Linked DNA regions of Notamacropus eugenii. The main gene of each other region encodes a partner of the protein of the gene in region 2 in a complex. Links are inferred from orthologs where the notes say so. Each region holds a gene or a part of one and is shown on either strand. Other genes may lie near its edges. The genes, in order: TAF12, TAF8, TAF13 and TAF4.

Region 1 (7,979 bases), on a different chromosome or scaffold from region 2:
GTTAAAACCTAGTGAAGAGGAAGAATTCTTAGCCATGCTTTAGGTAAATACATAAACAGGTCAATTTGTGATGAGAGTTAAAGACATGGTTAATGTAAATTCTGCCCTGTAGCTGTCTGTCCAGCAATGCAAGGCTCCAAGGTAACCCCCCACCACAGGACCTTGGTTAGAAAATTCCTCCTCCCCCTAGCTCTAACAGCTTCTGAGGAGCATAGGGCTCTGGCAGGAGCACACTTGAGGAAGAACAGGTGGAAAGGACAGCAATGCCTTGCACACCTGGAGAAGCAACGTAAACCAGGAAGGTGTAAAGATTCTGAGAACTTGGGGGACTGCAGAGATGCCCGAGGACCCCAGGGCAGGCAAAGGCACCAAGGAACCATCTAAGTTCTGCTTGCTGTGCTCCACTGCCCCCATGGCCACCTCCTGGCTTTGTTGACCAGGGGGAGGTTTCCTGCTAAACCTGACCTTTTATTCTCTGCACAAAGGGCCTCTTTCTGAGCTTCACTTGGGATCAACAGCCTTACCTTTCTCCCAGTTGTGCAGGCTAGAAGCGCTGGGGGTCTGATCTTTGGTTCATCCCACTCTCTTTTCTCATATCAAATTACTAAGTTATACTGATTCTTCCTTCAAAATGTGTTTTGGATTTGTCCCTCCATTAGATGTTGCTCCCCTGACTCATGTCTCACACCTGGGCTACTAGAATAAGTTCCCCACCTCTTCAACCCACCCTTAGGGTCCCTCAAACTCCCAGTGCAGCAGAACAAAATTAAATGTAACCGGAAGCATTTAACAAAATAAGTAAAAATTCATTACGCAACAGTGGAAGGACTGCTGGATTTGGAGACAAAGAACTTCTGTTCAAATCTGACTTAGACTCTAGGACCCCAATTAACAACTCTGGGCCCCAAGTTGCTCATCAATAACACAGAGGTTAGACTACATAATGTCTGACATCCTTTTCAACTCTAAATCTACAATCCTACCTACCTCCTTAGAGGCAGCTAGGTGGCTCAGTGGATAGAGTGCTGGGCCTGGAGTCAGGAAGACCTGAGTTCAAATCCAGCCTCAGATGTTTATTTACAAGAGCAAAATCACTTAACCTCCATTTGCCTTAGTTTCCCCAACTGTAAAACATGAGTAATGACAATATCTACCTCACGGGAGAGTCGTTCAAATGAGATATTTGTAAAAATGTGCTTAGCATAGTACCTGACAGATAGTAGGTGCTGTAGAAATGCTTATTCCCATCCCTTCTTTTTCCTGGCTTATTTCACAATCCTATCTCCCACTCCCCTCCACCTTATAGCCAAGTTGGCCTATTTGTTTTCTGCACTACGCTGTGCCTTTGTATAGACTGTCTGCTGTAAGTGGAAAATTCTCCCTCCTTATGTCCAGCTCCCACTCAAAGCTCAGCTTCAGGGCCCCCTCTTTAAATCCCCCCAGCTGCTAGTGCTCTTCCCCTCTCCCAAATTATTCTGTATCTAAAGTGTGTATATGCTGTAGACTCTTTAAGTTCCTTGAGGATGAGGACTACCCTGTTTCTGCATCCCTAGTGCCTAACATATTTTCTTTTTTGTGGTCTGGATCTTTAATTTCATTTGTGCAAAAGCCTGTTGCCAGTGAGGACACTTCCTCTGCCAGTGCTGATGGGCCATTCATAGTTTTAGAGCGGTGATTTGCCCAGGGTAACAAGCTGGAGTGTCAGAGGCAGGACTTAATCCCAGTTTGTAATGACCAAGGCTATCCCTCTATCTACTACACCCTTCTGCCTCTCACCTGCCACACAGTAGGTGCTTAATTATAACAACTGAGGTCTCAGAATGGTGGCTGGGTTGAAGAAAATATAGAACTAAATTAAGAAAGCTACAGCTCAACTGACTCAAACATGCTTATCCTATTCTTTTCTAATAATTTACCCCAACGCTTGTATATATTCCCTTTATCATAGAGAAATAACACCGGCATTAGTAAACAATGAACAAAGCTCCCAGAAGCCCATGCCGAAAGGACAACTGATACCTGATTGCTTTCTGGACTAAGACGCCCCCCTGCCCCTGGGGGGCCTGGCATCTTTCCCACTGTGGTACTGTTGGCCATGGACCCCTGAGGGGGGGTGCTGGAAGGTTCCGGTTTTATGGATGAAAAGTTGGAGAGATTGATCAGGGCTGAGGGGCCAAACTGGTTCATAATCTGTCGAGCTTTGGCCTTCAGTTCATGGAGCTTGTCAAGGTCCTGTTTTTTTTTGGGATTATGGGGACCGAGGCCAATCAACTGGGGAAAGAAAACATAAAAATATATTTTAGAAGCATCAGTAACAAAGGGTGGACATTTTAAAAAACTGTGTGTTTGTTAGATTTTTTCAGAATCTGAGTTCACCTCAAATGGTCACAAATTAATACCTTTGATTATAAAAATGGAGAGAGAAACGAATGCATAGCTTTTCCCTGACATTTGGAAATCATCTCTCCTTTAACAACTCTCTGAAAGGGTCTTCAGAACAGAAAGAAGACAAACAGACCAAAAAGTCATACACAGACACTGACTGGAAAGAGTAAGATATTTCTGAGGTTTATATAAAAACAGAACATTTGGTGAAGACATAGGATCATCTGGGGAAAATATGTGTTAAATTCAAATAACCAAAAAGAAACTCCACTTATACACCATAACCACCTCTGCAGAAAGGGGCACAGCCCCAGTGATTCAGAAATTAGTAACTCATGTTAACTGACACACCACATCATGCACTGACACTCAATGCAGTTATGTCCAATAAGCACAAAGCTTAACAATTTTAAGAGTAAGTTATCTTTTGGTTCTGTTAATCGTGCCAGATCAGCCTTTTAAAAATGGCCTGAGCCTGTTAGCATGACAAGATGGTGCACACTCAAAAACTTTGGCCACAGATGCCATGGTCGCATTAATTAGCTTACTTACAGCTATCTGAGCGTCTAGATCTTTAATTACATCAGCAACTGCTGTGAGCCCGGTGAAAGGAGGAGCAGCCATTGCCTAAATCTTTCTGAAAGTAAACAACTGGCACCAGACAACTTGGGCTATCAGGTCTTAGCCAGAGAGAGGAGGCAGTGGAGGCTGCTTGTCCTCAATGAGCACCCAGAAAAACGGCCTGCCTGGCCACACGAAGCCAGTGTTATTAAGGCTTGCTGCCGGGGGTGCCCACCAGCTCCTGGAAGGGTAAATGTCTATTGTTAGGAATGAGCTCAGAGCAGATAAAACTGACAGCAGCCTACCAACAGGTGGGGATGTGCAGTCTGGCTGTACCACCACAGGGTTGGGGCTGGAATCAGTATCAGACCAATCCTTTCAGAACTTTGGCAAACTCTGAGTAGTGCATGTGTGCACATGTGTGTGTGCGTGTATACACATGTACCTCTCTGCCCTATCCCTGACCACGACTCTAATGTGTCCCTGTTTAAAAAGTGCATTCTGTTGTCTCACCTCTCAGCACTAGCTTACTAATGGAGTGCTCACAATGACTGGTTTCACACAGGCAGACTCTGCTGCTTCACTGTAGCACAGTGGTTTGTGGGGGCTTATTCCAGTGGAAAGCAAACTGGCTGGTCACACCACATTAGAAAGGCTGCAAGAAGAGGCCCTGTGATGCACACTATGTGTTGGCTGTCCAGGGACCAGTCTTGTCCAAACAAAGATTGGATAAGATGGCCTCTCAGGCTCCTTCCTACTCTGAGATTTTTTTTTTAACCATAACAACTCATGAAGACTACACACAAATGGGTAGAGAGGTTGTGATCTGTGTTGCTGAAATACATATTTTTGAGGTATTAAAGTAATGATGAAAAGTGTTCTACAAAAAGCTACAAACTGGCCAGAGAACCCATGAAGATCAGTGCAGACGTGCTCCCTTTAAACTCTGCTGATTCCATGACAAATCCTACAGGTACTTGAAAGATCCTTGTTGGAGAACATAAAGTCAGTGTCTTCTTTCTGGCTCTAGGCTCATGTTTCAAACACTTAAGATGAAACTTCTAATATGTGTGGTGGGATAAAAAATAAATAAATTGGTTACCTAGAGGTTTCTCATTAATGAACTCTCTCATGACAAGACTTGAACTGCATATAAACCATGAATGACAAGCACAGGACACAACATGAACAATCACACAGTTAACTCGAGAGTGACCTAAGGCATAATCCCAAAGAGATTTCTCCTTCACCTGTTCTCAGAACATTTTGTATTCTTGCACATTTAGCACTTTCTAAACTCTATTTACCTTATTACAATTTCACTTTTCCGACTACAAGTTAAGATCCTCGAAAGCAGGGACATATCGCAATGATCATCTTCTCTGCTCCACGGCTCTATGCCCCATACAAGGTAAGGGACACTTGCTAATTGAATGCATGTATTGGGCTTCTAGATTCTCACAGGTGTTATCTACATGTACTGCCTCTTCCAGATTATAATCCAGTCCTCATGATCATGCTCAAATGTCTACCAGGGGTAGGGAACCTGTGGCCTCGAGGCCACAGGTGGCCCTCTAGATCCTCAAGTGCAGCCCTTTGACTAAATCCAAACTTCACAGAACAAATCAAACAAAGATTTGTTCTGTGAAGTTTGGCAACATGCTCAACTATTACAAATCTTGTCAATTCTGCCTCCAAATTTACCATGCACCCATTTCCTCTCTTCCATTAGCACTAACTTTATGAAGAGACCAAATCAACAATAGAGAATCAATGAATTTCAAACTTCTTAGCTTAGTATTCAGAGATGTCCATAATGTGGCCTCTTTACATTCTTGAAGAGCTAGCCTCTAAATCCCACCTCTTCATTTCCTATTTTGTTGTCCTTTTGAAGAATGCCTGGAAACCATGAACAGTTTCGCAAGGACAAACTTGACTCCAATTTACTTGATGAAGGCTTACTCTTAAGGATATTTTACCCCCAAATTAATGTTTCTTTTTCTTCTGATGATGATGAAGATGCCTTCTGTGTTGCTGACCTTGGAGACATCCTCAAGAAACATGTGGGATGGTACAGAGCATTTCTTCGAATATATTTTTTATGCTTCAAATGTCACAATGGCAGAGCTAGAAAGATGTTTGCTACTCCAGGAGCAGGGTTTGAATGTCCTATGCTAGCAAGACTGAAATACCTCCAAAGGGCATCATCTAGGCACCTTTAAGCAAATGTCACAAATTAAGTACACTGACAACAAGGGAGAGAAAATGACTTCTGACAGTGAAGTCAAGTGAATGAAAACTACCAGAGATCACTGGACAAAGTTCATTTTGCAGACTGTTACTGCTAACTCCAAAGCTGTCTGTCATCTACTTGTTGAGTTTGGTGCCATTCAAAATAAGTAGGCTGTCTCTGATCTGGAAAAAACCAAAACACTGAATATGAATGTTGCCGGAGTCAGTTTCATGTGTGAAATGATTGCATGGATCCAGAAACCTTTGTATAAGCAGTTTCTGATGCCTGATGTATCTCTGACATTAAGGTTGTCCACCTAATACTGGTTGGTGGTGGCTTATCTGGTTCTGAAGTGGTCGAGCTTAAATATGAACAGATAACAAGTGTAATCCACCCAACACTGGTCAAATATTTTCCTTCTGAATCTAGAGTCAGACATATCTGACCAGAGATACACTATGTTGCATTCCTTTTGGACTTGGGGTTAACATCATTATCCAAAAACCAAAAACCAAACAACCTATATTAAAGGAATACAGAGGTTCTGATGAAGAAAATGATGAAAATGACCAAACCTTTATGTATCATGTGAATGATGGAGAATATCAAACGTTGAACAGCATCTCATTTGATCAGGCATGGTAAGATGTGGAAGACACTTAACCAGATGTGAAATATTACTCTTCTAGCATATGAGGACCAATAGGTTAGTGTCTGGATCAAATTGTGCAATGCTGTGCTTTACCAGAAATACATGTTGAAGCTTGTAGGTGGTTTTAAAACATGGGTGCTTGTCCTGTAGCTACTTTCCCTTTCAGTGACTTCCAGAGCCCCTCTCTACATTGTGACCTCTAAGCCAGAACTGCCATGCAGGCAACAAACCAAGGAGCAGAAGCTTTCTAAGAAGTCAAGGCCCAGGATGGGGCCACTGTCTAAGGCTTGTACAGCAGAATGGAGCATCATTCCTCAGCATCATTTGTACTTCAGCTAGTATCAACAGAGAGAAACTGTTGATAGCCATTAAATGTAAGTTTAGTTTGAATTGAGAGGATTTGGGGAGCGTATTAACTTAATTCTTAAGAGTTTTTAAATGTGTTTGAAGAGTAGCGTTGACTCAGATGCAACAATATGGAAGAGCAGGAGATGAGGTCATACTGGTTCTAGTATGACATTTGTTTTATGTGGATTTTTATTCACTGTTCAATGCTACTAAACGCTTGCCCTCAGCTGTCAAGCATTTGTAACTTGTACAATGGTAGAACAGGTCTGCACTCAAGAGTTTGTGACCTATTTTTCAAATAAAAGTATATTGAATTTTTTTAGTGGGTCTTTGTTTCAGGAAATTTGGGGCCATTAAAAAAAGCCCTGCAACTACCCAAAGTCAACCCCAAAATTCTAAGAGGCATGATGGTGTGGTGGATAGAATACTGGACCTGAAATTAAGAAAACATGGGTTTGAATCCCAGTTGAGAGACTTACTAGCTGTGTGACTTTTGGCAAGCAGACTCTGTATGCCAGTTTCCTTATCTGTAAAATGAAAAGGTTAGATTCAATGACCTCTAATGTCCCTTATAGTTCTAAAAATAATATTCTATGTATGAAAAATCATATAAAAATATTATCAGATAAGTATGTGGCCAGAAAAATAGATGGGCTGGTCACAGAGCAAAAGACACTAGACACTGATGGACAGCCTGCCTGATCCACTGGTATCCACAGAAAGCTAAGAACACCAAGCTCCTACAGACTGGGTGGAGCACTCTATGGTGAATTCATGGGAAGATTAGTGTGAATGGATTGGCAAAAATGGATGGGTTGCAATCTGCTTGATGAAGGGAATTGCTTATATTTAATAGAACCCATATTCAATATGGATATGTTATCTCCTTACTGCACTGCAAGGTCTTTAAGGCAGGAACCATGTCTTTTCTATCTTTTCATTCCCCTATAATCCCCACCCCCAAAAGAAGTACTGATAGGGCATCACATAAACGTAGGGCCCATGCCAGGGGGAGATGTGGAAGGACTACAGGGAAAGAAAGAAGATAGGAATCAGAGGATGATACATATATTTATAGCCAGGAAGGAGCCATCTAATCTAAAGGTCATTGAATCCAATCCCCAGGTTGAATTATGAAGGTTTTATAAAGGACATATGACCTGTCCAAGATCACAGATGTAGTAAGTGGCAAAGCTAGGTTTTAAGATTGGGAGCCTCAAACAAAAGTGGAAAACATAAAGGACCAGTTTCACGTGGCCCTTCAGAGAGGTCCAAAGGGAAAAAAGTCAGCATGGCAGGAAGTTGTGGGCAGCATGAGTCATGTGGTCTACAGGGAATGTGGGATCTAGCCAGAGGGATAGATGGCTTGATGCTCTCCACAAAGAGTTTTCCTGATTCCATTGTGGTTTTTGTTGCTGGGTTAACTAAAATCTGCCCTATAATGCCAAAAGGTATTAAGGACTATTAGAAAAACACAGACCAGCTGGAGTGATGGTACATGCTTGTAATCCCTTCTTCTAGGAGAGGCTGAGGCTAGTCGTTCCCTTGAGTTTGGGAATGCTGAGCTGTAGTATCTTAGTGCCAAATGGGTGCCTACATTAAGTCAGGCATTAATATAGTGAACGCTACAGAGGGTGGGGCCACCAGGCTATCTAAGGAGACTTCACTGGTCCACATCAGAAACAGAACAAATCAAACTTGCATGTAAATCAGAAGGGGAGCCAGGCTTGTGAGCGGCCACCATGCTTCCAGCCTGGGCAAGATAGGGAGATCCCATTGGGAGAGGGGTTAGGAAAAGAA
Region 2 (7,800 bases):
TGTATGAAGTTTGTCTATACATGTCTATATGTTGTCTCCTCCATTAGAGTATAAGCTCCTCAAGGGCAGGGACTATCTTTTGCCTCTTTTGTATATGCAGCACTTAGCACTGCACCTGGTGTTTAGAAGATGCTTAATAAATGCTTTCTTACTGATCAGTCCTGTCACCTCATTTCTCCCTACCAAAAGCAGCAACCTCTGCACTCTAGAATCCATGACCCCAATTCTTGCGGAAATTACTCCGCTTTGGAATTTCTATTCACAGGCTGAAATGTCTTGAGTGAATATAAATTTGCCTTCCCTACGATATTTGCACAGCCCCAGAAAAGCCCAAATTAGGCTATGCTTTGTATTCCATCCAGCCGTCCACAAAGGCCACCTTGCCAACTACTCTGCCAATGCACAAATACCCTCCCCATTCCTCTTTTTCCACTTCTTGATCTGGGAAAAGTAATCAATAATACCAAAGCTTTTGGAAAGGGCATATTAATTGACTGCCCTACGGATCAACTCAGCATTCTAGTAACTCCCTGGACCAAAACTCCTTTAACTGCCCACTCTCCTCTTTAAATACAGAATGAACCCACTTATCTCACTTATTACAGAATGTAAGTTCTTGAGGGCAAGAACTGCCTTACTTTTCTGTATTTGTATCCCTGGTGCTTAACAGAGTGTTTAACATATATAGCAAATGTTTAAAAAAGTGTATTTGTTCATTCATTCACTAAGTCTTAGCTGCTTCATAAGCTTCTGTGTTAGAGAAAAATAAATTATCTGTTGACCAAACTTTTGCTGAGTATATCCAAATTTAATAAGTACATTCTTGGACCAAAGTTCATTGCTTAGCTCATATCTGAAAACTCTGAGAACTGCAAAAGTTTATAATCCATCAGCAAAACCATTGAGAATTCAAGGCAACCTCCACCACAAGGAAGTTTCATGGAGGTAGGTATTTAACTTTCAAAAAAATTTAATGGACTGACTTTGCAAAAAGCAGCTAGTATCCTCCATACTCACAGCTTTGTAACATCTCAGTTAATGTTTCCACCGATGCTTTCTCAGCACTTTCAAACCCAGCCTCTGTCAGCAAGGAGCTCACAACTACCTGCAAGGTCCGCCTGCGTGCCAGGTAGTAGTTGTCTGCAGGGGTGGTGGCCTGCTTGCTTCCTGATCTCTATATGAATCAACAAAAGAGAGCATGGTTTTAGTTTACATATTAAAGGTGAAATCACATACTCTAAGAATATAAAACTGACCACCCATGACAGATGGGAAATGAATGATAAATGCCTACCAACACCTCCCTTTTAAAATGCAGCAACTCTGCCATTCTGACTTGTGCTTCTGGCTAACTAGCTTAATCACTGAGTGTTCAAGAAGTGCTGAACCCTGGAAGCTAATGATTCCTTCCCTCAATGTATACCCCAGAATAAGGGCCTCCAGGTCTTCATAAAATTTTTTCTTTCCAGGGATGTACACACTGATAATGAGGTTGATGCATGAATTGTCAGACCTAGCTCAGTGTTTGGGAGGATCCGAAGAAATCTATGGGAGAGAAGAGGTATTAGACTGACTACCAAACTGAAGGTCTACAGAGCCGTTATGCTGACCTCATTGTGGAATTCCTGTGAAACCTGGACAGTATACCAGCACCATGCCAGGAAACTGAATCGCTTCCATTTGAACTGTCTTAGGAAGATCCTGAAGATCACTTGGCAAGATAAGGTACCAGACACTGAGGTTCTTACTCAAACTAAACTGCCAAGCATTCATATTCTGCTTCAGACAGTGCAACTCTGATGGACTGGCCACGTTGTTCAAATGCAAAACATATGCTTGCCAAAAAGACTTTTATGGAGAACTCACACAGGGCAAGCATTCATACGGTGGTCAGAAGAAGCGATACAAGGACACCCTCAAGGTGGGAGACACACGAGGAGATACTGACACTGGAACACTCAGCATGGCATTCCCACATCAGAGAAGGTGCTGTGCTCTATGAGCAAAGCAGAATTAAAAGCGCTCGAAGGAAACTCAGGATGCACAAATTCAGACTATCCACCCCAAATGTTCACATGGACTATTTGTGTCTGATCTGCGGTAGAGCATTCCGAGCTTGTACTGGTCTGGTCAGCCATAGTCGGACACATCTAAGCTTGACTCTAGCACAGTGATGTCACTTTGGTCCTCTCTGAGAACAAAGGACAACAACCAGCCCCAGAACGACTCCTCTCCTTCAGTCTCAGAGCTCCTCATTTCACATACGATGAGAAACACTTTGTAAAAGGATTTCATTGCCTCTATGTTCCCTCCAAGCACTAGAAGTCTCTGATGTTATGAAAAGAGGTTCAAATCATGACTCAGACTTTTAGCTGTGTGACCCTGGGCAAGTCACTTCACCCTGTTTGCCTCAGTTTCCTCATCTGTAAAATGAGCTGGAAAAGAAAATGGCAAACCACTCCAGTATCTAATGGGGTCACGGAAGAGCTTAACTGAATAGCAAAAACAGGAATTATTCTTCTCAGCTGTCACAGGGCCAAGTGGTTTAACTCGCACCGTTGCAAACAGATTTTTATAACAAGAAGGACGCTGAAATGTTCTTTTAAATCCCCCACCAGCTGGTTTTTCGATTGGCAAAAAATCGGGCCAATAAGAGAGAAGGCAGGGCAGCTTGAGCCAATTAGACGCTTTCTCCGGAATCCCCGCCTCCTACTGGGAACTAGCCAATTGAGGACTCGAGCGGCCAAGAGCTAGAAGAGGTGGGGGGAGGGGTACACTGGAAGGGGAGGCCTTTGCCTCGGCCAGAGTGGCTCGGTGTGGGAACTGACTCCAGAGACCCCCCAATCTTCGCGCTGCTCCGTTTTGCTGAGGCCAGGGACTAAGTCCTCATGCCCCTGACCCACGCCCTCTGATTCTTACCGCTCCTGAGCTACCGGCTCCGGCAGTTGCAGCTGTGTCAGCCATCTTGAATACCTGAGAATGTGCATGTGCGCAGGGCAGCCTGGGAACTGTAGTCCTAGGGGGAAGCGGGGGCGGTGCAGGGATAGGAGGGAGGAGGGAGAGGGGTCGGGCTCACAGCTCCAGTTTCCAAAGATGGGCGTTGTGGTGGGTGTGACCAGAGTCCGTGACTTCACGTGGCCTTACACGAGAGGATAGAGTGCACGCTGGCTTGTTAGACCACTAGGAGCCTAAAGCCTGGGAAATGCGCCCTCAGGTGACAGCAGGAAAAGGGAGCTTAGATGTGTTTCGTTCACCATTGAAACCCCAGCAGCTTCATAGCCTCCTGGAGCAGAGACACCTCAGTGTCCCAGGATCACAGGCTTTGGACTTGGGGCACGGAATTCTTAATCCTTCTTGTGTATCTCGGACCCTTTAGGCACATCTAAGGACCCCTTCTCAGAATCATGTTTTTCAGTGCGTAAGAATACAAAGGATTCCAATTAAGTTAAATACAGATAATCATGTTAAAAACAAACCACCAAGTTCATGAACCCCAGGTTTAAAACATCTCTGCTAAATTAAAAAATTCTGAGATGCTACCTCACACCTATTGGATTGGGTAACAGGACAGAGGGGGAGGGGGAGAAACGTTGGAGGGGACGTGGGAAAACTGAGACTTTGGTGCACTGTTGGGGTTGCGAACTGATAAAATCATTCTGTAGAGCAATCTGGAACTGTCTAGGGAGCTATGAAACCAGGCATGCCCTTTGACCTAGCAATACCACTACTAGGTCTGTATACCAAAAGAGATTTTAAAAAGGAAAAGGACCTATGTGCACAAATATTTATAAATAAATATATTTATATATTATAAATGTAAATAAAATATTTGTAGCAACTCTTTTCTGATGGCAGGGACCTGGAAATTGATGGGATGGCTGAACAAGTTGTGTTATGTGATTGTGATAGAATACTATTATGCTATAAGAAATGATGAGCAGGATGCACTCAGAAACCTGGAAGGACTTACATGAACCGATGCAGAGTTAAATGAGTAGAACCAGGGGAATAGTGTACTCAGTAATGTTGAGGTTTAGGGGTGCTCCCACAGAAATAGCAGGGTCTTGCCCAAATGAATTTGACTCAAGCCTTCTTTCAGCCAAAGAAAAACAAAGTTGCTTTGTTTTTTTTTAAGATTGGCCATATTGAACAGACTCTTAAGGAATCTGAGCATTTGTGACTCTTGTATTGACAATTGGGCCAGATACAATGTGAGCTAGATTGAATCTGAACGCCTTCATGGAAGCAAGATGAATCTTATATACAGAAAGATTGTGTGAGAGATCTAGAGTTGGCCAAGAACTCCAGAGTAACTAGAGATGTAACCAGTAACTACAGATGGGGTTTAAGGAGGGTCCTAGCCAATGGAGGGCTAGGCTAGGTTAAGCATAACAAATTTGGGCATGAAAAGCCAAATCAAGTGGGAAGATTCAAAGAGCGTTCAAGCAGGTTCCTAGAGCCTGTACCCCATCAGTAACAGAAATACTGTAAGATGATTAGCTGTGAATGATTTAGCTATTCTCAGTAACACAATGATCCAAGACAACTCTGAAGAACTTAGGATGTAAAATGCTATCCATCCCCAGAGAAAGAACTGATGGTCTCAGAATACAGAGACTTTTTTTACTTTATTTTTCTTGAAGGGTTTTTTTTGGGGTCTATATTTTCTTTTACAATATGACTAGTATGGAAATTGTTTTGCATGCCTACACATGGATAACCTATATCAAATTGCTTGCCTTCTCAATGAGCAGGATGAGGAGGAAGGGAGAGAATTTGAAACTCGAAATTTTTAAAATGAATGTTAAAAGTTGTTTTCACGTGTAATTGAGGGAAAATAAAATACCAAATATATATATATATTTTTAAATACCTCTGCTTTAGTGGGATCTTTGACATAATTTAGTTCAGCCCTTCCTCTCCCCCCCCCTTTTTACAGAATTGGAAATCGAGATCTGGAAGAAGTGAAATGCACAAAGTGCAGGGATCCAGATTTCCAAGGCTTTTTCCACTTCATTGTTAGGAAACCACACCCTTCGCCAGCAGTCAAGAGACAAGAATTTTTGGATCCCAAACCTTTTGCCCTGAGTCCTAGAGGTTACTAAAGCTTCAGTGACTAACAAGAGCTCCACCCCTTCACAACGAAGTCTACAGCAATTCTAGGGTTTAGAGATCAATCCCTTTCTCCACAGAACCGCAGAATATTCCTACTAGAAGGGACTTTATTATTAGGACCATAATATTCAGAGCAGGAAGGGGCTTTTGAGGTGATTTCGTCCAACCTTTTTATTTGACAGGAGAAACTTGCAATTCAGGGCGGCATCGAAGTGATCAAAATGATATGCAACTAAGTAGCAAAGCCAGAACACTCCAATCACCTTTGGGGCAGGACAGCGCAGCGCCCACGTACAGAGTACTCCTCTGGGTAGAGGAGGGTGCTCTCCTCACCCTGGGTGACAACACTACCACCTTCACGCCCACACCTGTGCTAGAGCGGCCCTGAGGGCAGCAAGGCCCCTTCCCCCCTACACCCACCCCTCCCCTTGGCTCTGAGAAGCAGGAGCCAGGGGGCGGGGTCCCCTCGGGTCCGTGCGCACCCCGGAGTTCGGATCCGGGGCAGCCCCTAGACCGCGGGGTTAGCAGGCTCTGGAGAGGGGGCCACGGGGGAGAAGGGAGGGGGGCGCGATACCTCTCTACAGCAGGAACCCACAGCCCCTCCGTCTCCCCCCCCCGCCCCCTCCTCCCCACTTCCTGCCCAACTTCAAACGTCGAATCCCTAGCGCAGCACCGAAATTGTAAACACTCCGCTCGAGCGCGGAGGAGGGGTCGAGATGGAAGCGGTCAGGGGCAGGTAGGGAGTGATCTCTTCCTCGGCTCCCCACGTCCAGCCCGGTGTCAGTGGCGGGCCTACCCCAAGGACACAGTTCTGGAGCTGGAAGGTCCATGCCGGGAGGAACAGGGTGCGAAGAGGCGACTCCAGGACTCACCTGTTAGGTAGGCATCGGAGCTGTGGATGGAGCAGGTCTGGGGGAGGTGGGGCTCGAAACGAGTTCGTGCAGGTCGGGCCAGCGCCCATCCCTCGGGAGCACCTGGGGCTGGGGGGTTGGAGAGTCCCGAGGGAAAAGGCGTCTAGGAGGTAAAAAGAAAATCCCGATTTAAGGGGAGTGGGGAGGGCTCCGAAGCGTGGGGCTGGGGAATCTCAGGAGGGACTAAAGGAGCTCCCGAGGGCCGAGGGCTTGGAAGGGAAGCTCCGGTCCCCCAAACACCGGTTGACCTCGATCATTTCCTTATCATTTATAAGAGGGTATTATTGATCTCAAACGTCCCGTGGAACTCTGAATCCTGTTGTTTTTCTGTCCTGCGCAAAGGGTTCCCATTCACCCTCTCCCAGACAAAAGGTCGGAGTGCCTGAACTAGGTTCTGGGACCCCAAGCTATGTATGCCAATTCAGATATATGAGTTTATTTGGATATGTGTGAATATATATGCATGTGTATGTCTATATGTATTTATACACATATTTAGGACCTACTCCGTGCAAGGCTTTGTGTCAGAGACACTAGGAATACACAGATGAGTAGTAAACAAACCCTGCCTACTAGGGTTTGTTTACACTTTAAAAAGAGAGTACTTTTACCCTTTAGCTCATTTCAGTAACCTGATGTCATCCCCAGATTTCTAGAGCTTGCATTATTCAAAAAATGCTTATGTATCAAGGAAACCTAATAACAAATTTAGTCAAAGAGTCACTCGGGTGGGTTCTGGTCCCAGTTCTGCCCTATCCAGTGCCCGGATGTAGACTCCCCATGCCTGACCGGTTGTCACCTCCTGCATTGATGACTCGAATCCCTCCCTCCTCAGATTTCTTAAAACACTTTATGGGGAACCTTCCTTTGCAGTTATCATAGTTTCTCTTGTATCAGAGCTAGTTGGGCATGTCTTTCCCCGCTGTTACATTTTAAGTCCTTCATGAGCAGGTCCTGTGTTTTATCTATTTTTGTATCATCTCATAGTAGTTAACAGTAGTGCTTTGCATATGGTAACTTAATAAATATCTGAGTTGAATTAAATTGATCAGTCCTTGGCATTTACTTAATGGGCAAGTGATGTTCCCTATTTCTTTTCACCTCACAAAGTGTTTGAGGATTTCAGTGAAAGACAAGAACTGCAGAAAAAAAAGTAATGTGTACTTATTTTAGAAAGGGACAAAGAAAAACAGAGGAGGGAGGGATTATCTCTCAGCTCTTGGGCAAGGGGCTGTTAGAGATCTCCAGTCACTCATCCTGGTAACTACCTCTCTTCCAGGAACCAAACCTAGACTTTTATTGATATTCAGGACTCTGGGGAGACAGATCATACAGTAGTCCTACCCCTAGGGGATCAGCTTCTTTTCTCTGGGGTTCCAGGATTCCCTCAAATCTTGGCCCAAGAGCCACCCAGCTAGTTACTCTTAAAGAGCCTGCTCTGGGCAAGAGAAATAGATGTCGTACCTCTCTAGCCACATAGCCTGCTGTAGTGGATAGAATATTGGATTTGCAGCCTTAGCACCTGTGTTTGAATCTGCATTTGCTACCAGCTCCGTGACCTCTGATATTCACTTTGCCTTTGTGGACCTTAGTTTCTTCATGTGTAAGGTCTTCCAGCTCTAAATCCCATGATTCTATATTTTCTTTTCTGGGTTAACCTATTAAAACCTAGTGTCCGTGGAGATGCTTGTCTTTTTTGTTTGGAACATGCTGGAATCTGAGATAATCAAGCAACTCAGATGTAAAATTCAGGGCTCCGTGCCCTTAACCTACT
Region 3 (7,504 bases), about 180 Mb from region 2:
AAGGCAAAGTTCTCAGTTGAAAGAGTGAGGGAAAGAAGTGCCATGGGAAGTTTGAGGAAGGGTAAAAAGGTTTGGAAAAGCCACTGTGGTAAGTGGGAGAGTGAATTAATTAGCAAGGTGTACATGGATTGTCTTGCCACAGTAAAAGCCCAGTTACACATATGTAATGGATCCCGTCAGTGCAGTTTCATGATTTTTTTTCTAGCTTCATTTAGTAGTAGCATGTATATAGGAGTAATGACAGTGGATGATGGGAATAATCCAAAGCTAAGGCTCTTCTGTTATTATTGTTCAATCGTTTCAGTTGTATGCAAGTCTTCATGACCCCATTTGAGGTTTTCTTGGCAAAAATACTGGAGTAGTTCTCCACTTCCTCCTCTAGCTCATTTTACAAACGAGGAACTGAGGCAGATGGGGTTAAGTGACTTGCCCAGGGTCACACAGCTAGTAAGTGTCTTCCTGACTTCAGGTCTGGTATTCTATCCACTTTGCCACCTAGGTGCCCAGGCTCTGCAGGGCAAAATTATAAGGGGGCAGAGGACTCGAGTAGTGCACAGTGTAGAGTTGAACTGATTCACCAAAGGGTCAGGATGGGGAAGGGATGGTAGTTATTGCAGAGGTTATATCTTAGGAAATTGAGGGGTTGAGGGATTGGAGGTTGGAAAGAGGCTTGTGTTTGTCCTCTGTTTTGGAAGAAGACCATGACACCAGAGAAATGATGATATGACTTGCACTTGACTTTGTTTTGATTGAGGGAGGGCTGTGCAAGGTCACCAACCTCACTTTCTCCTCCTGAGCCAATCTAGGTCAAGTGACCAGATATTCATCAGGATGATTGGAGATGGTCTAGGACACAATGGGAGACCTTGGCCTTCTTCGGCTGACCTTTTCAGGTACTCATAGGGAAGTAATGTCCATTGAGTGAACAGGCTTCTTTAAGAAGTAGTCAGGGAATGGCCCTTTTAATGAACAAAGAAAAAATAACTAAATCAACCTGGGAGGGAACAGAAACTGTTACTATTGATAATCAGTCTAAGCTGGTCATGAAGTAGAGGCTTCAGAATGCACTGGATTTAAGGTTCTATGAAGGAAGAAAAGAAAGGAAGGAAGGAAGAAAGGACATCTAGCCAGTAAACCTCAAAGGAAGGGGAAAGGGAGACAGAAGGGAGAGTGTGAGCTGGGTCCCCACTCAGGTAGCTCAGTCTACTCACAGGTTGTGTTCATCCTTTGTTTTTGCTGAACACCATGACATCAGAGAAATGAAGACATGACTTGCACTTGACTTTGTTTTGAGTAAGGGAGGGTGGTGCAAGGCCACTAACCTCACTTTCTCCTCCTGAGCCATCTGGGTCCAGTAACCAGATATTCATCAGGATTAGTGGAGATGGCTCAGCTGGAAAGAGGCAACAGGGATGGAGAGGTAGAATTACAATAGATTATGATCAGATAATAGTATCTCAGAGTTCATGAACATGAAAGCAATACACTTGTAGGTAATGGTCAGATCAAGGATATGACCATCTCTTTACTCAGATGAGATGGAGCAGGTCATGAGAAAGTTATCCCATAGGTCTTCTGTCTCTATTCACACAGCTACCACCATAGTTTAGACCTTCCTCACCTTCACCAAGACTACTGCAAAAGCCTTCTAGTTACTGTCCCTGTCTCAAGGCTCTCCTTATTCCAGTCCACCCTGCACATAGCTAACAAAGTGATTTTCCTCAAAGGAGGTCTGATCATTACCCCCACCTACTCCAGTGGATCCCTTTAAGCTCCAGGATCAAATAATAAGGTCATTTCTTTGACTTTTAAAGATCTTCATAACCTGGCCCCTTCCTATCATTCATCTTCTTACACCTCACTCCTCTTCACATCCTCTAAAATCTGGCTATGTGGACCCACACTTGCTATTTTTCTCATATCCTCATATCACGTTCCAGCTCCTCACTGCACATCTCTGCATTGCCCATCCTTCATTCCTAGAATGCCTGTCCTCTCTCCTCACCTATGCCTTAATTTTCCTGGCTTTCTTTAAGATCCAACTCAAATCTCATCTTAGGTAGTAGAACTTTCCCAATCCTCCCTTCTCACTCCCCAGCTGCTAGAAACTTTCAAGGTTACCTTTCAACTGGGCTATCTCTATGTATCTATTCAGGTGCATCTTGTCTTCCCCACTACAATGGGAGTTCCTTGAGGGGCAGAGCTGTTTTTCCTCGGTCTTTGCATTCCCCCAGTGATTAGTACAGTGCCTGGCACATGATTGAGACTTAACAAATTCTTATTGTGAGTGCTTGATCACTTCTGGTAAAAATGGTAATTAGATCAGATAGTTACTTTGCCTGAAGACATTAGTTACCTTCTAATAGTAACTCATATACATTTGTTATAGATACATATATGTATATATACATATATGCATATATATGCATATACATGCATACATGTATAGGTAAATACTTTTTGGGGGGTCCCAGACATATGATTTCATCTGAGAGCATAGGGAGATAACAGTGAAGAAACTCTCTCAATTTAGACAAGCAACTATTCGTCAGTTTATAGTCTTAGAAAATAGCCTGGGACACTGATAGGTTATATAGTAGGTAAATGTCAGGGGAATTTAAATTCAGGTCATCTTGAACCCTAGGTTGCCACTTTCTCCACTATATTGTACTACCTCTCATATTATGAATATACAAAAACACATATTTTTGTTAAAATAGTTTTACATCTTCTTACGTTAAAAAGAGTCACATATCTTAAGGATCAGAAGACTAGAATTAGGATATATAACAAGTGGGCAGCTAGGTGGTGAAGTACAGTGCCAGGCCTGAAGTTAAGAAGACTCATGTTTCTGAGTTCAAATCTGGCCTCAGACATTTACTAGTTATGTGACCTGAGCAAGTCACTTCCCCCTGTTTGCCTCAGTTTCCTCATCTGTAAAGTGAACTGCAGAAGGAAATGGCAAACCACCCCAGCATCTTTGCCAAAAGACCTCTACACAAAGTCATGAAGACTCAAACATGACTGAAGTGACTGAACAACAACCTAATAGGTAAAAGACACGTGCAAATATACACAAAGACAGAAAATTAGGAGCATAAATGGAAACTGTAACTTTCAGGGAAATAATGATAACAGAATTTACATAGTGCATTAAGGCTTGCAAAGTATTTGACATATATGATCTCATTTTAACCTCACAACAATCCTGGCAAGTAGAGGCTATTTTGCAGATGAGGAAACTGAGGAACAGAGAAGGCAAGCGACTTTCTCAGTGTCATACAACTTAAGTATTTGAGGCAGCATTCAAATTCAGGTTTTCCCCACTCTGAGTCTTGCACTACATACCACCTAGCCTGCCTTACAGGACAAAGTGGTAAAGAACTTCTCTAAGTTCATATTGGAACTTTCTTGATGGGAATGTAGAAGTCTCTCTACAATTCTTCTCCAAGTCAGATAAAAAAATGCAATCCCAAATTACCTTTCTCAAAACAAACCAAAACAAGCCTTTACTTTTTATTTTTTTCAAGCTGCAGAAAATACAGCTCTCACCCGCACACATTACTTTCCAGTCTGAAAGGGATTTCTCTCCCCTCAAATTTCTCCAGGTACTCCTACTACTCGTATTTGCAATTGCCAGTTTTATAGCTATCTGTATGCATTCCCCTTATTGTTAGGTGGTCCATCCTTCCCTTTTGAAAAGGACCAGGGGCATCATGGCGGTGATGACTTCTGCCGTCTTGACTTAGGAGTAAACTGGATTTAAGTGAGGCAGAGTTGCATAAAGTGGTCAGCCTCACTCTCTCTTCCAGAGTCATCCAAGTCCAGCCGCAAGACAAAAGTCAGGAGGACTAGCTATGCAGCGGGTGACCTTGGCGTCTCTGATGTCTGACCCAGCTCTAAGGCCTCCACAGGGTCTGCTTCAGCCACCTTCCTGAGAGCTGGAACACACTGCTCTCCTCTTCGGGCTGCACCAGGGTAGGCCTTCACGTAACTCACTGAGGGTCATCGGAGGGGTCAGCTACCCCGAACAGGCGCTGCTCATGGCGTCCCAGGTAAAAGGTGGGCTCCAAAGGTGGATGGATAGTTCTGAAAATGCTAGTCTTTCCTGGGCACCCCGTTATTCCGCTCTAACCCAAGTCCGGGATCTTTCCACCATCCAGCGGCGCCCTGGAGGTCATTTCCCACTTTGTGTGTAGGGACAGAAGGCTCCCAAGGATGTCTCAGGGCACCCTGCCTCTAGATTTCCTGCTGCTTGTCACTAAACTGGAAAGGAGGGATTCTCCAGCTTTTATATTCGCATCCCTGCCGAGTCTCCCCGTCCCCCAATCCACAACTGGCTGATTGAGAGATTTTTTTCAAATCACTGAGGGTCACGCGCCTAAGCCCCTCCCCATTCGTCTCTGACGAATCAGAGACCCAGGCATGCGTGCGCGTGCGTGTCGAGACGTGCTTCTACTTCCGCGTGTGCGCGCCTTCTCCCGAGCAGCAAGGAGCGGTTCGATCAGATGATGCGGTTCTGACGTGGAGGTGAGGAAGCAAGAAGTGAGGAAGCGGAAGGACGGAAGCGGAAGCTCGCGAGTTCCCCCGCCCTCCGAGCAAGAGAGGAATTTCTGACGGTTGGAGCCGGGGACGGGATGGCTGATGAGGAGGAGGACCCTACTGTGAGTGAGCAGGCCTCCCTCTCTCACCTCCTCTCCGCTTTCCGCAGCTCGGAGCGAGCAGCGGCCCCCGGCCGCTAGGGCCTAGAAGCGTGTGCGGGCGGGAGCGTGCTGAGGCCCAAGGCCGGGGAGCCCCGGGAGCTCGCGGTCGCTTCTCTGCACTGCGTGCCCGGCTTCCACATTACCCCTTCTCCCTCGGTTCACTGTGGAACTGGATTTGTGCGGGCGGCGTAGAAAAATGCCCCAGCAGTCAGTGATGCCTGCACAACATTGCCCACAGACGTGGGGAGAGGCCGCCGAAAGCCGCGATACTCTTTCTGTTCTCAGTGTCGTGGAAAAGACCCGGTGTATTTGTGGAGTCCAAGGGCGCGTGATTTTGGCCGAGTCTCTTTTAACTCCTTTGGGCTTTGAACGAACTCCTTTCTTTCTCTACATAAAGGGAAAGACGTTACTTATAGTATTTACTTGAATTAAGCAGCTACCTCCTGATTAAAGCTTTTTCGGATCCCCTGCTAGTGTGTTGTATTTTGTGTCTATATTTTGAACGTATTTGTATAGGCACAAGTTATCTGTTCCCCCCATGGGACCTAAGTTTTTTGAGGGTAGAGACTATTCATTTTTGCTTTCACATCCCTAGCGTCAAACACAGTGCCTAGCACGTGACAGGCAGAATAATGAATGAATGTTGGTTGTTTGATAATTCCCTGCCAGGATCATTGTGGGAAAAAAAAGCCTTTTAATCTTAAAAGCCTCTGTGTATATGCATTATTCGGAGATGATACTAAATGTTGTTTCTGACTGTAAACCTGTGGGAATCAGGAGAACTCTTTTCTGATTTGAGTTTCCCTCTCTGGCCGTGAAACATTCATTTAGCATATCAAGGTCTCAGTTTCATCCTTTACAAAATGAGAGTATTGGACTAGATGATTTCTGAGGACTGCCCGACCTCTAAAATTGTATGGAATTCATCTAGACGACAAGATATTCAACCTAGGATATCCTAGTTTCAACCACATTATTTTAAGAGGGGCATCAACAGATGGGAATTCATCTAGATGAAAGTGATAAGAATAGTGAGAGGTTTGGAATGGTTTGCATAAAATGACAGAAGGAGCTTAGATATCATCTGGTACCCTTAGTTTAAGGATGACAGAAAGACTTGCTTAAGAGCACATAGTAAAAGGCAAAGCCAGAAAACTTGGGAGTTTTCTGACTCCGAAGTCCACTGTACTTTCCAGTACATCACTGCCATAAAAGGAAAGTTTGAAAACTTGGTGTGCTTTGCTTAGGGAAAACTAAGGAAAGACATGGATAGCTCTTTTCAAAGATTTGAAAGGCACTCAGGAAAAAAAAAGACTTTTTTTTGTGCTGCAGAGGACAAAACAAGATTAATGATTGAAAGTTAAGAGACAGATTTAAAAAATTTTTTTTGAAAAAAAGGGAAAACTGTACACACTGACTGTAATTGTGGGCAGGTCATTTAACCTAATCTCAGTACCCCAGCCAGTTCTCTATTCATTAAGTTACACGAGATAAGTCACTAACCTACTTTAGTAAAACAAGGAGTCTCTACACCAAGAATTACTTGGATAGATGAAGTCACCCAAATCCTTCATCTCTCCACATTAGCTAATGTATATAAAGCACATATGTTTTAGCTGTTTATATAGCATTATGTGTATGTTATTTTTTTCTCATTATTACAAAATACATTTAACTATTCAACAGGAAAATGAATAGCCCTATTACATTCTAATCTTCCCTTCACTCATGCAACAGCTGGGTAAACCATTTGTTCACCAAATTAAGGCTTATTGTATTTAGTTTCAGGATTTTAGGGTTCTACATTGTAAAGAGATTTCTGTGTGGATATAGAAATGGTTATTTGCATCCATGACCTATTAGATGCCTTCCAATTTTAGTTCATTTTTGAAAATAAATTTTTTATTAAACATTTAAAAAATCTTCTTTATCTCAATTCTTTAAACTCTTCTAGTTTGAGGAAGATACTGAAGATGTAGGAGGAGGAGCAGATGGTGGACAGGGTAAAAGGAAAAGACTTTTCTCTAAAGAATGTAAGTATTATATTTAGTATTTTGATTGTGGATGTCATGCATTGAAGATGAACATATATAGGCATTCTCTAAATTAAAAATGGGTTGTGCTTTATAAGTTACTAGTTTGTTGCTGGGAACAAAAAGAATCTTTCCTTAGAAGTTATGCTATAAATAGTGATTTACAGGTCTCAAGCCATCTATAAAAGCCTATTTGACTTCTAATGTACTCCACTAATATCTTGCTGTGATGACCCATTATTTTATGACGGCAATCCTCACTTCTTGAAAGCTGTGCCAGTGGACTGTAAGCTCTGGTAGGTCCTAGCAAGCTACAAAGCCTTCATGTACAGGTCTGAAAATAGATTGTATGCCTGTTATTTAAAGACCAGTTCAGGTAAGTTTAGAGAATCTTATCACCAGATTGTCCACTGGATGATTAATTTTTTTCAGCCATAGCAACTGTCAACTGTATTCTTAATTATAGAAGGTTTATAATTCACCCACAACAAAATCATAAATTGTCTTGCCCATAATGTACCTCAGTGATGCCAACTTAACCACCCTTGGTAGTAATACCCATCCTTGATAATAATACTTCTGTAAGAAAGCATTTAGAATTCAAGCTTTGAATATCAGGAACATACCTCTCCCCTACCCTGATCTTCATGCTTCCTATATAACTGTGTGAAGATAGCCAGGAAAGGCACGCATTGGGAAAGGTATCAGGCTGAGAAAGAATTAAGGGGAAAATTCCAGGCAGCAGCAGGGTCTGTGCCAGGTGTGGGG
Region 4 (6,929 bases), on a different chromosome or scaffold from region 2:
ATTTAGACTTGAGGAGACCACATTGCCAAAGAAAAGTAGACTGAGGCAATTTCCAAGCCATAGGAACTTGGTCTACTAGTGTTTCTTGAAAAAAGAAAGTACCAAGTCCCATTAACAAGTTCATTTTACAATAATTCCACATCCTTGATTATTGTAAATACAAAGAAACAACTTTCCCACCTTCCACCCTCCCCAAGAGCACCTCTTATGGGGCCTACCTAGCAGGGAGGTGCTTAAAATATATTGAAGTTGATTTAGATAATTTGCTTTTAGTGCAAACTTATGAGTCCAATGTTCTTTTCCTTGTATGTGAATGATTTTGTTTTTTGCCTGATAACATATTCAAATGTATAATATCATAGTTGATGATGCCACATTTGGAACCTGGCAAAGAAAGCTTGACAACAACACCATTAGGACGAAGTGCTATATAAAGGTTCATTGGATCAATTTTATTAACTGAAAAATAAGGGAAAGGGCAAAGATTTACTCAAGTTGCGTTTTGTCAGGTAGAAGAAAACTATTAGATATAATTAGTATGCATATCAGGGCTGTATCTTGGCATGATCATAGTACTGAGCATTCCTGGTATTGAAAGGTTAAAGCACTTAAAGATATTTTAAATTTAGCACTCCAGGGCTCAGGAGAAATCCTTTCAAAAATCCTCCAAAACCTTTGGGTTAGTGACTCTCCTTGACCATATAGGTCCTTCTAAAACCCATTTCCAATTCCCACCAATAACCTTTCAATTTAATTTACCTGTATTTATTTAAACACAGTGCTGTGCACCAGTAAGGCACTGGAAGAGATAAAATTTAAGTAGGAAATGTATGCCTCAATGGAGCCTGTAGTTCTGTAGAAGTGCAAGAACCAAACAAAAATCTCCATAATACACCATATTACACAAGTGCATTAATGAAATGCAAAGTAAAAAGTCATGTAGTTTACAAGGGTTGCTACAATCCTCCATGGAGGTGTTGATATTTTAGTTGGAATTTAAAGGATAGACAAGTAATTCCAATAAAAGCAGGGCCTCCCAGACTTTCCCCAGGCATAAATAAGGAAAGGCAGGAAGACTAGCACAAGTCTTCATAAATTTTAGAGAAACCCATTTTACTTTGGAAATGCATGCATAAATACATACTTGGTAGATGAGACAAAATAAATCAAGAACAACGATAAGAGGGTAGGGAATTTATCTAGAATCTCTATGAACCCTTGGATAGAGATGTCTGATACTTCAAGTGTCCGCATTCAGGGTAGCAATCAATGTAAGACCCAAACAGTTACTAATTCCACACAACAGCTCAAGCAATGAAACCACTCACTCTAGAATATAAAGTATTTGTGTTTGGTTTTTTTTTGGGGGGGGGATTACCACATTTTAAACAAAGGAAATAACATTTTTACCAACTTTTCTCCACCCCCAACAAAGCACTAAAACACTTATAATTCTAGTTCTAAGAAACTCTATTACAGTAACACTGAGCAAGGAACAGCAAATGCACAGCTAACTCTTTAGAGCTACCACCATTCATTTAAAAACTAAGGTTCCTCCACAGGAAGAGTGTAGCCACTATTTGACCTTCCATATTTAGACAAAAAGAAACTACCACCCACACAGCTTGCCTGCCCACAGCCCCTCTTTAGCCCCAGAAGCAGGACACATTCCTCCCATTGTAGTTTAATGAAACTAGAGGTTACCATGTAATCACCATTGTTTCCTTCTACGCTACTTTGTCATCCTAAGATGGAAGATCTCATGCTTTTGGAGTTCGTCAGGATTCCGACTTTTTTTTAGAGGAGTAATCAAGGTGATTATTTAAGGTTATATTATTCACTTAGAGATGACTTTTCCACCTCGTTTCTCCCCTGCATTTCCGGTTGCTAGTCGCATCTCCACCAAGAGGTAAGGGAATAAAGTACAACTCATTCTATTAAGCAGCTTGTTCACAGGTCTGTGGTGGAGGGAGATGACAGGCCAAGGTTAAAAAGGTTTTCTTTCTCCATCATGGGTCTCCATTAATACACAGGAGGGTGAGGCGGTATGTAAATAAGTGACATAATCTAGGTGGCAGGCTCCTTACTCTACTCAGTAATTACCTGCGTTTTTAAAGTGAGGAAATCACCCTGAATTATCCCTTCCGCATGAGGATGCGCAGGAGGCACACATGCGGGACGACGCTCGTAAACCTGTGTTTACAGTTTTCCTGCGTGCCGAGATAAGTAAAAAAGGACTGAAAACCAACCTACAGTAACCCCCTGGGGATCGGGGAGTCAGGCTTTATGATCCTTTCAGATGTCACTTCCGATCAAGTTAACCCGAAGACAGTTCAAGTTTGGCCTGCTCCCCCGTCAGGTACATTCATTTCCCTTCGCTGCCTTCTCAGAGCCTCTTTCCGCATCCTTCCCGCCCCGAGGATGCGCCACTGTGGGACCCCCGGCTGGCCGGGAACATCTCCCCTCACCCCCACCCCACTTCCTCTGGAACGCGGGAGGAAAGGCATTGTCGCCTGTGCCAAGTCTAGTCTTCTCCCCGACGCAGCCAAGCCTCCCAGGGCCGCCCAGGCTCTGCTGCGATGCCTCGGTGCCCCCCCCCCCCATCTCTCCCTCCTTCCTTCAACCTGCTCCAGGCTTAGGCTCCTCCTCAGCCCGGCGCGGGGGAGCCCCACACAAACAAGCCGGGAGGCGGTGCAGCCGGGATGACTCTTCCGAAAAGGACTCCCCCCGCCTCCCCCCAAATCTCTCCACCTCTTGAGGGTGTTTCCCCTTCCGAGGAAGGGAAAGGGGTGTGTGTGTTTGGGGGGCGGGCGAGGAGGAGCGGGGTGGGGGGGTGGTTTGCAGACTCCGTGGGGGTCAGTGACGAGAAGGGGGTGGGGAGTTGTCGGCAGCGCCGAGGGGGGCGAGGACACCCGTGAGTGGAAGGGAGAGAGTGAGAGACACCCCCTTCTTGCCTCCACGCCAGCAGCCCCGAGGTCCCGAGCAGGCGGCGGCGTCCCCCCCAAAACAACCCAACAACTGCCTCCTTTTCCGACTCGAGTGACGAGGCCGAGGCGCAGCCCACAGCCTCCCCCGCCCCACTTTCTTCTCTCCTCCCCCAGACGCTTCTTCCCACAGCGCAGCCCTGTTTATTCAGGAGGGCGTCCGACGGCGACCCGAGCAGGGGCTCCGGGGGTGGCGGCGACAAGAGGCGAGGGAAGCTGCGCCGAGCGCGCGGGGTGAAATGGCGGTTGGCTTCGGGGTGTGCGGCCTCAACCGCCGTTCTCCTCGTCCCCCATCCCCCCCATCCCCGTCCCCGCTCCCCCGCCTTCCTTCCCTCCCTCCTCCTTGAGCTCGGGCTGGGCGGGGGTGTCTCAGTTACACGCAGCTGGCAAGCGGCGGCGACGGCACAGGTGCGGGGCGGTGGCGCCCTTCACCCCTCGCTCGCTCCAGCCACACTCAACCCGCAGCCATTTTGGAGCAAGCAAAGACAAAGAGTGAACCACCGCCTGTCGCCGCCGCCGCCCCACACCAACTCCTCCACCCCGCCCCATCTCGTCTTCCTCCCCCGCCCGGTCCGGCTGCGGCGCTCCGCTCCAACCCCTCCGCAGCCAAGCCCCGGGGCCGCCTTCACCGCTCCCCGGGCATCGAGCTACCGCCGCCGCCGCCAGCGGCAAAGGCTCCGCATCCGCCCCTCCCCCCAGCCACCACCATAGCCGAGGTCGTCGCCGCCTCCCTCCCCACCCACCCTCCACACTCTTTCCCCTCCCCCCGCCCTTCGGTCTCCCGACTGCTTCCCCTCTCCACTCTTCAATAACGCTCGCAGCCATTTGCCGTCGCTTTTAAGCGCGCCGGGCAGCCAATCAGGACGGGCTGGAATCCCGGGGCCGCGGTGACGCGCCGCCGTGGCGCGCTTGCGCGGCGGGCGCGGAGGAACCTCCCCGCCTCCCTCCTCCCTGGCGGCCCTCCTCCCCTCCCCGTCCCCGGCTCCCCTCCCCCTCCCCCCTCCCTTCCCCACACAGCCCTCCTCCTCACCCAGTCGCTATTAGCCAAAGCGGCGGAGTAAAAAAAGATGGCGGCGGGTTCGGATCTGCTGGATGAGGTTTTCTTCAACAGCGAGGTGGACGAGAAAGTGGTGAGCGACATGGTGGGCTCTCTGGAGTCCCAGCTGGCGGCCAGCACGGCCCATCACCACCATCACCCTCACAGGACGCCCGAGATCCGGGCCGGAGGCGCCGGGGGGCTGGGGAACCATGTTGTGAGCGGCAGCCCTGGAGGAGCCGGAGTAGTAGGAGCCGCCGCCGCCGCCGCCGCCGGTGCTAATGTCCAGACGGAGAGCAGCAAAATGGGACTGGCCCAGGAGATCACAAAAGCAGGTAGAGCGGCGGCGGCGGGGGGCGGCGGGGGCGGCGGGTCCGGGCCGGGGGAGAGGGAGCCGAGAGGGAGCGAGAGAGGGGAGCCAGGGCCGATCCCCCTCAGCCCTGCCGACCCCCCTCCCCAGAGGGGGGCCTGACACCCTCCCGGGGGCACCCGGCGTGAAGGGGCTACCCGGGCCCGGGGGAGCCCCGGACCCTCCGTGGGCGGGTGCATGGGGGATAAGGAGGCAGAGGGGCAAGGGATGGGGGGTCCAAGACCCCTCCCTGGCTACAGCGAGGGGACCCTGGTGGGGTAGAGGGAAGGGAGAGGGGACCCCCCTTCCCCAGGGTGGTCCAGCCATCCCAGGGGGCGGACGGGGATGGGGTCTGGAGGAGCTGACATCCCGAGCACAAGGTTCTGACACCTCAGGTGTGGGGGGTATCAGTAACTGGGGGACAGGGAGAGCGCTCAGTTCCGAAGGGGGACCCCTCCAGAACTGATGTTTTGCTCCCTCGATTTTTCTCACTCGCCAATTTGTGTCTCCCGTTAATATCTTAGCACGTCTTGGCTGAAGTAATGCCCCCCAGACCTCCTCCCCCTCCCCCGCTCTCTCTTTTTTATTTTATTCTCTCCTTGTTGTTGTTGTTGTTGCAGGGGCCGGAGGAGTGCAAGGGGGTGTTATTAATCACAACACGACCCGGTCCCAGGGTTCAGCTCTGCTGGATGGAACCTCCTCGTCCACCTCCACCAGCAGCAGCAGCACCAGCACCAGCAGCTCCACAGCAGGCTCCGAAGCTGCTGCTGCTGCTCCAGGGGCTGCTGCCATCAGTCAGGGCAAATCGGTGGTCATCAGCAGCACCATGGCAACCGCCTTGTCCTCCAGAAACGGCAAGATCGGTACCACCGCCACGGTGCAAACTTTGAATGGGAGTAACGTCGTGATGAACTCTCACCATTCAGGAAGTGCTGTTGCCTTTGCTGGGACTCCGACTGCTGCTGCTGCTGCTGCACCTGCTGTCACCCTCGTCAACAACGGACCAGGATCTGTGGTGTTGCCGCTGGGGAAGGGAAATGCTGTCAATGCTGTTTTGCCTTCAGCTTCTTCTAACACTGTCATCCAGACTTCTTCTTTCCTCAGCACTGCTGTGTCCTCCTCTTCCTCACCCACCGTTATCTCCTCCTCCAGCATTGGAAGTGCGGGACCTACCGTGGCACTAGTGAGGCCACCAATTCACACAGCAGGACCTGCTGCGGCTTCTGTGGCTGCAGCCACCCAGAATGGGAGCAATACTGTGATCAATTCAACTATCAGTGTGGGGAGTTTGCCTGCTACTGCTGCTGCTTCTGTAGCTACTGTGGGTTCTGGAGTTTCCCTTCAGGCATCCCTTGTGAACAGCCAACCTGGCTCCAACATGCCAGCCACAGCCACCACACAGGTCATCAAATCAGAGTCCCCTAAAACTATAGTGCAGGCAGTGCCTCAGCAGCAAACGTTGACAACCAGTGGCCAGTCCACCGCAGGGGGTAACATGATCATTGGGCAAACTATGCAAGGTGGCATCCCCAATCCTAGTGGGATACCACCTCCTCCTCCAGCTCCTGGGACCCCTACAGGGATGGCTAAAGGCACTGCCAACACAGTGGCACAAAGTCTGCCAAGGACTCCAACAGCTACTACAGGTGGTATCCGAGCAACATTGACTCCTACAGTTTTAGCACCCCGTCTGCCTCAGCCACCTCAGAATCCTACAAATATTCAAAATTTTCAGCTACCCCCAGGTAAGAAAAGCATTGAAGTATTTATTGTGGTGAAAGGCAAATGATCCAGATACTTTAGTTATAAGTCATAGGAAGTTCTTGTTCTCATTTAAAATGGTAAGGCCATTTACCTTTTTTGCCAGTTTTATGAGAAGTGTGTTATGCTGGTTCTTGTGACTGGGACATGCTAAGTAGACCTGCTTTACAGACTTTTGTACTGCTTAAATCTTTGTATTTGCATTTTAAGTCTGTGTTCAGATCTTCCCACCCATAACATCATGGTGTTCTGCTGATGCATATTCCTATTTAATCTTCTTCATTGCATCTTTGACTTTTGCTTAACCTCTGCCCCTGTACGCCCCTGCTGCCAGAGGAAGCAGGCTACTTGCTCTACAGCAGCAGGTATGTCACAGGAGAAAAATTACTTCGCTATGCGAATGTACATTAAAACAATCTTGGATTTCAATTTTTTTTAAAAAATTAGAGTTCTAGATGTAGCCTTGCCCATTAGTAGTTTCTGCAGTCAGGTATGATGAGTCTTTACCTCACCACATATAATTTTTGTGTTTGTCATCAATTGTTAGAGGAGTTCCTCAGATAGGGGAGTATGTGGACCTGGTTTCCAAAGGTGACAGAAAGATAGAATGACACACTACACTCCCTGTTTTTAGGGCTGCTTGATTAAGTCTTTGAAAGCTTTTACTCTTTTCAGGGTATACTTTAAAAAAGTATTTAGATATCAGAATGATATTACAGTTTTTAAGTGAACTGAGTCTAAACTGACTCATAAAAATGAGTCTACAAGGATCACATCATTCAGGGTTAACATTCTAATC

Evidence for each region.
Region 1: TAF8 (region 2) and TAF12 share a complex: the UniProt entries of both Homo sapiens proteins name them as parts of the TFIID basal transcription factor complex. The link is inferred for Notamacropus eugenii from reciprocal best matches to the Homo sapiens genes TAF8 and TAF12.
Region 3: TAF8 (region 2) and TAF13 share a complex: the UniProt entries of both Homo sapiens proteins name them as parts of the TFIID basal transcription factor complex. The link is inferred for Notamacropus eugenii from reciprocal best matches to the Homo sapiens genes TAF8 and TAF13.
Region 4: TAF8 (region 2) and TAF4 share a complex: the UniProt entries of both Homo sapiens proteins name them as parts of the TFIID basal transcription factor complex. The link is inferred for Notamacropus eugenii from reciprocal best matches to the Homo sapiens genes TAF8 and TAF4.

Annotation. Positions count from the first base shown.
Region 1 is NC_092876.1:69,738,154-69,746,132, forward strand, and holds the start of TAF12 (transcription initiation factor TFIID subunit 12), read right to left. Parts: upstream 3,043-7,979; 5' UTR 3,010-3,042; coding exon 2,938-3,009; intron 2,272-2,937; coding exon 2,020-2,271; intron 9-2,019; coding exon 1-8. UniProt on the Homo sapiens protein: The TFIID basal transcription factor complex plays a major role in the initiation of RNA polymerase II (Pol II)-dependent transcription.
Region 2 is NC_092873.1:103,086,154-103,093,953, reverse strand, and holds the start of TAF8 (transcription initiation factor TFIID subunit 8), read right to left. Parts: upstream 3,021-7,800; 5' UTR 2,965-3,020; coding exon 2,920-2,964; intron 1,175-2,919; coding exon 1,018-1,174; intron 1-1,017. UniProt on the Homo sapiens protein: The TFIID basal transcription factor complex plays a major role in the initiation of RNA polymerase II (Pol II)-dependent transcription.
Region 3 is NC_092873.1:287,197,095-287,204,598, reverse strand, and holds the start of TAF13 (transcription initiation factor TFIID subunit 13), read left to right. Parts: upstream 1-4,468; 5' UTR 4,469-4,637; coding exon 4,638-4,664; intron 4,665-6,657; coding exon 6,658-6,736; intron 6,737-7,504. UniProt on the Homo sapiens protein: The TFIID basal transcription factor complex plays a major role in the initiation of RNA polymerase II (Pol II)-dependent transcription.
Region 4 is NC_092872.1:501,253,022-501,259,950, forward strand, and holds the start of TAF4 (transcription initiation factor TFIID subunit 4), read left to right. Parts: upstream 1-3,923; 5' UTR 3,924-4,051; coding exon 4,052-4,355; intron 4,356-4,989; coding exon 4,990-6,114; intron 6,115-6,929. UniProt on the Homo sapiens protein: The TFIID basal transcription factor complex plays a major role in the initiation of RNA polymerase II (Pol II)-dependent transcription.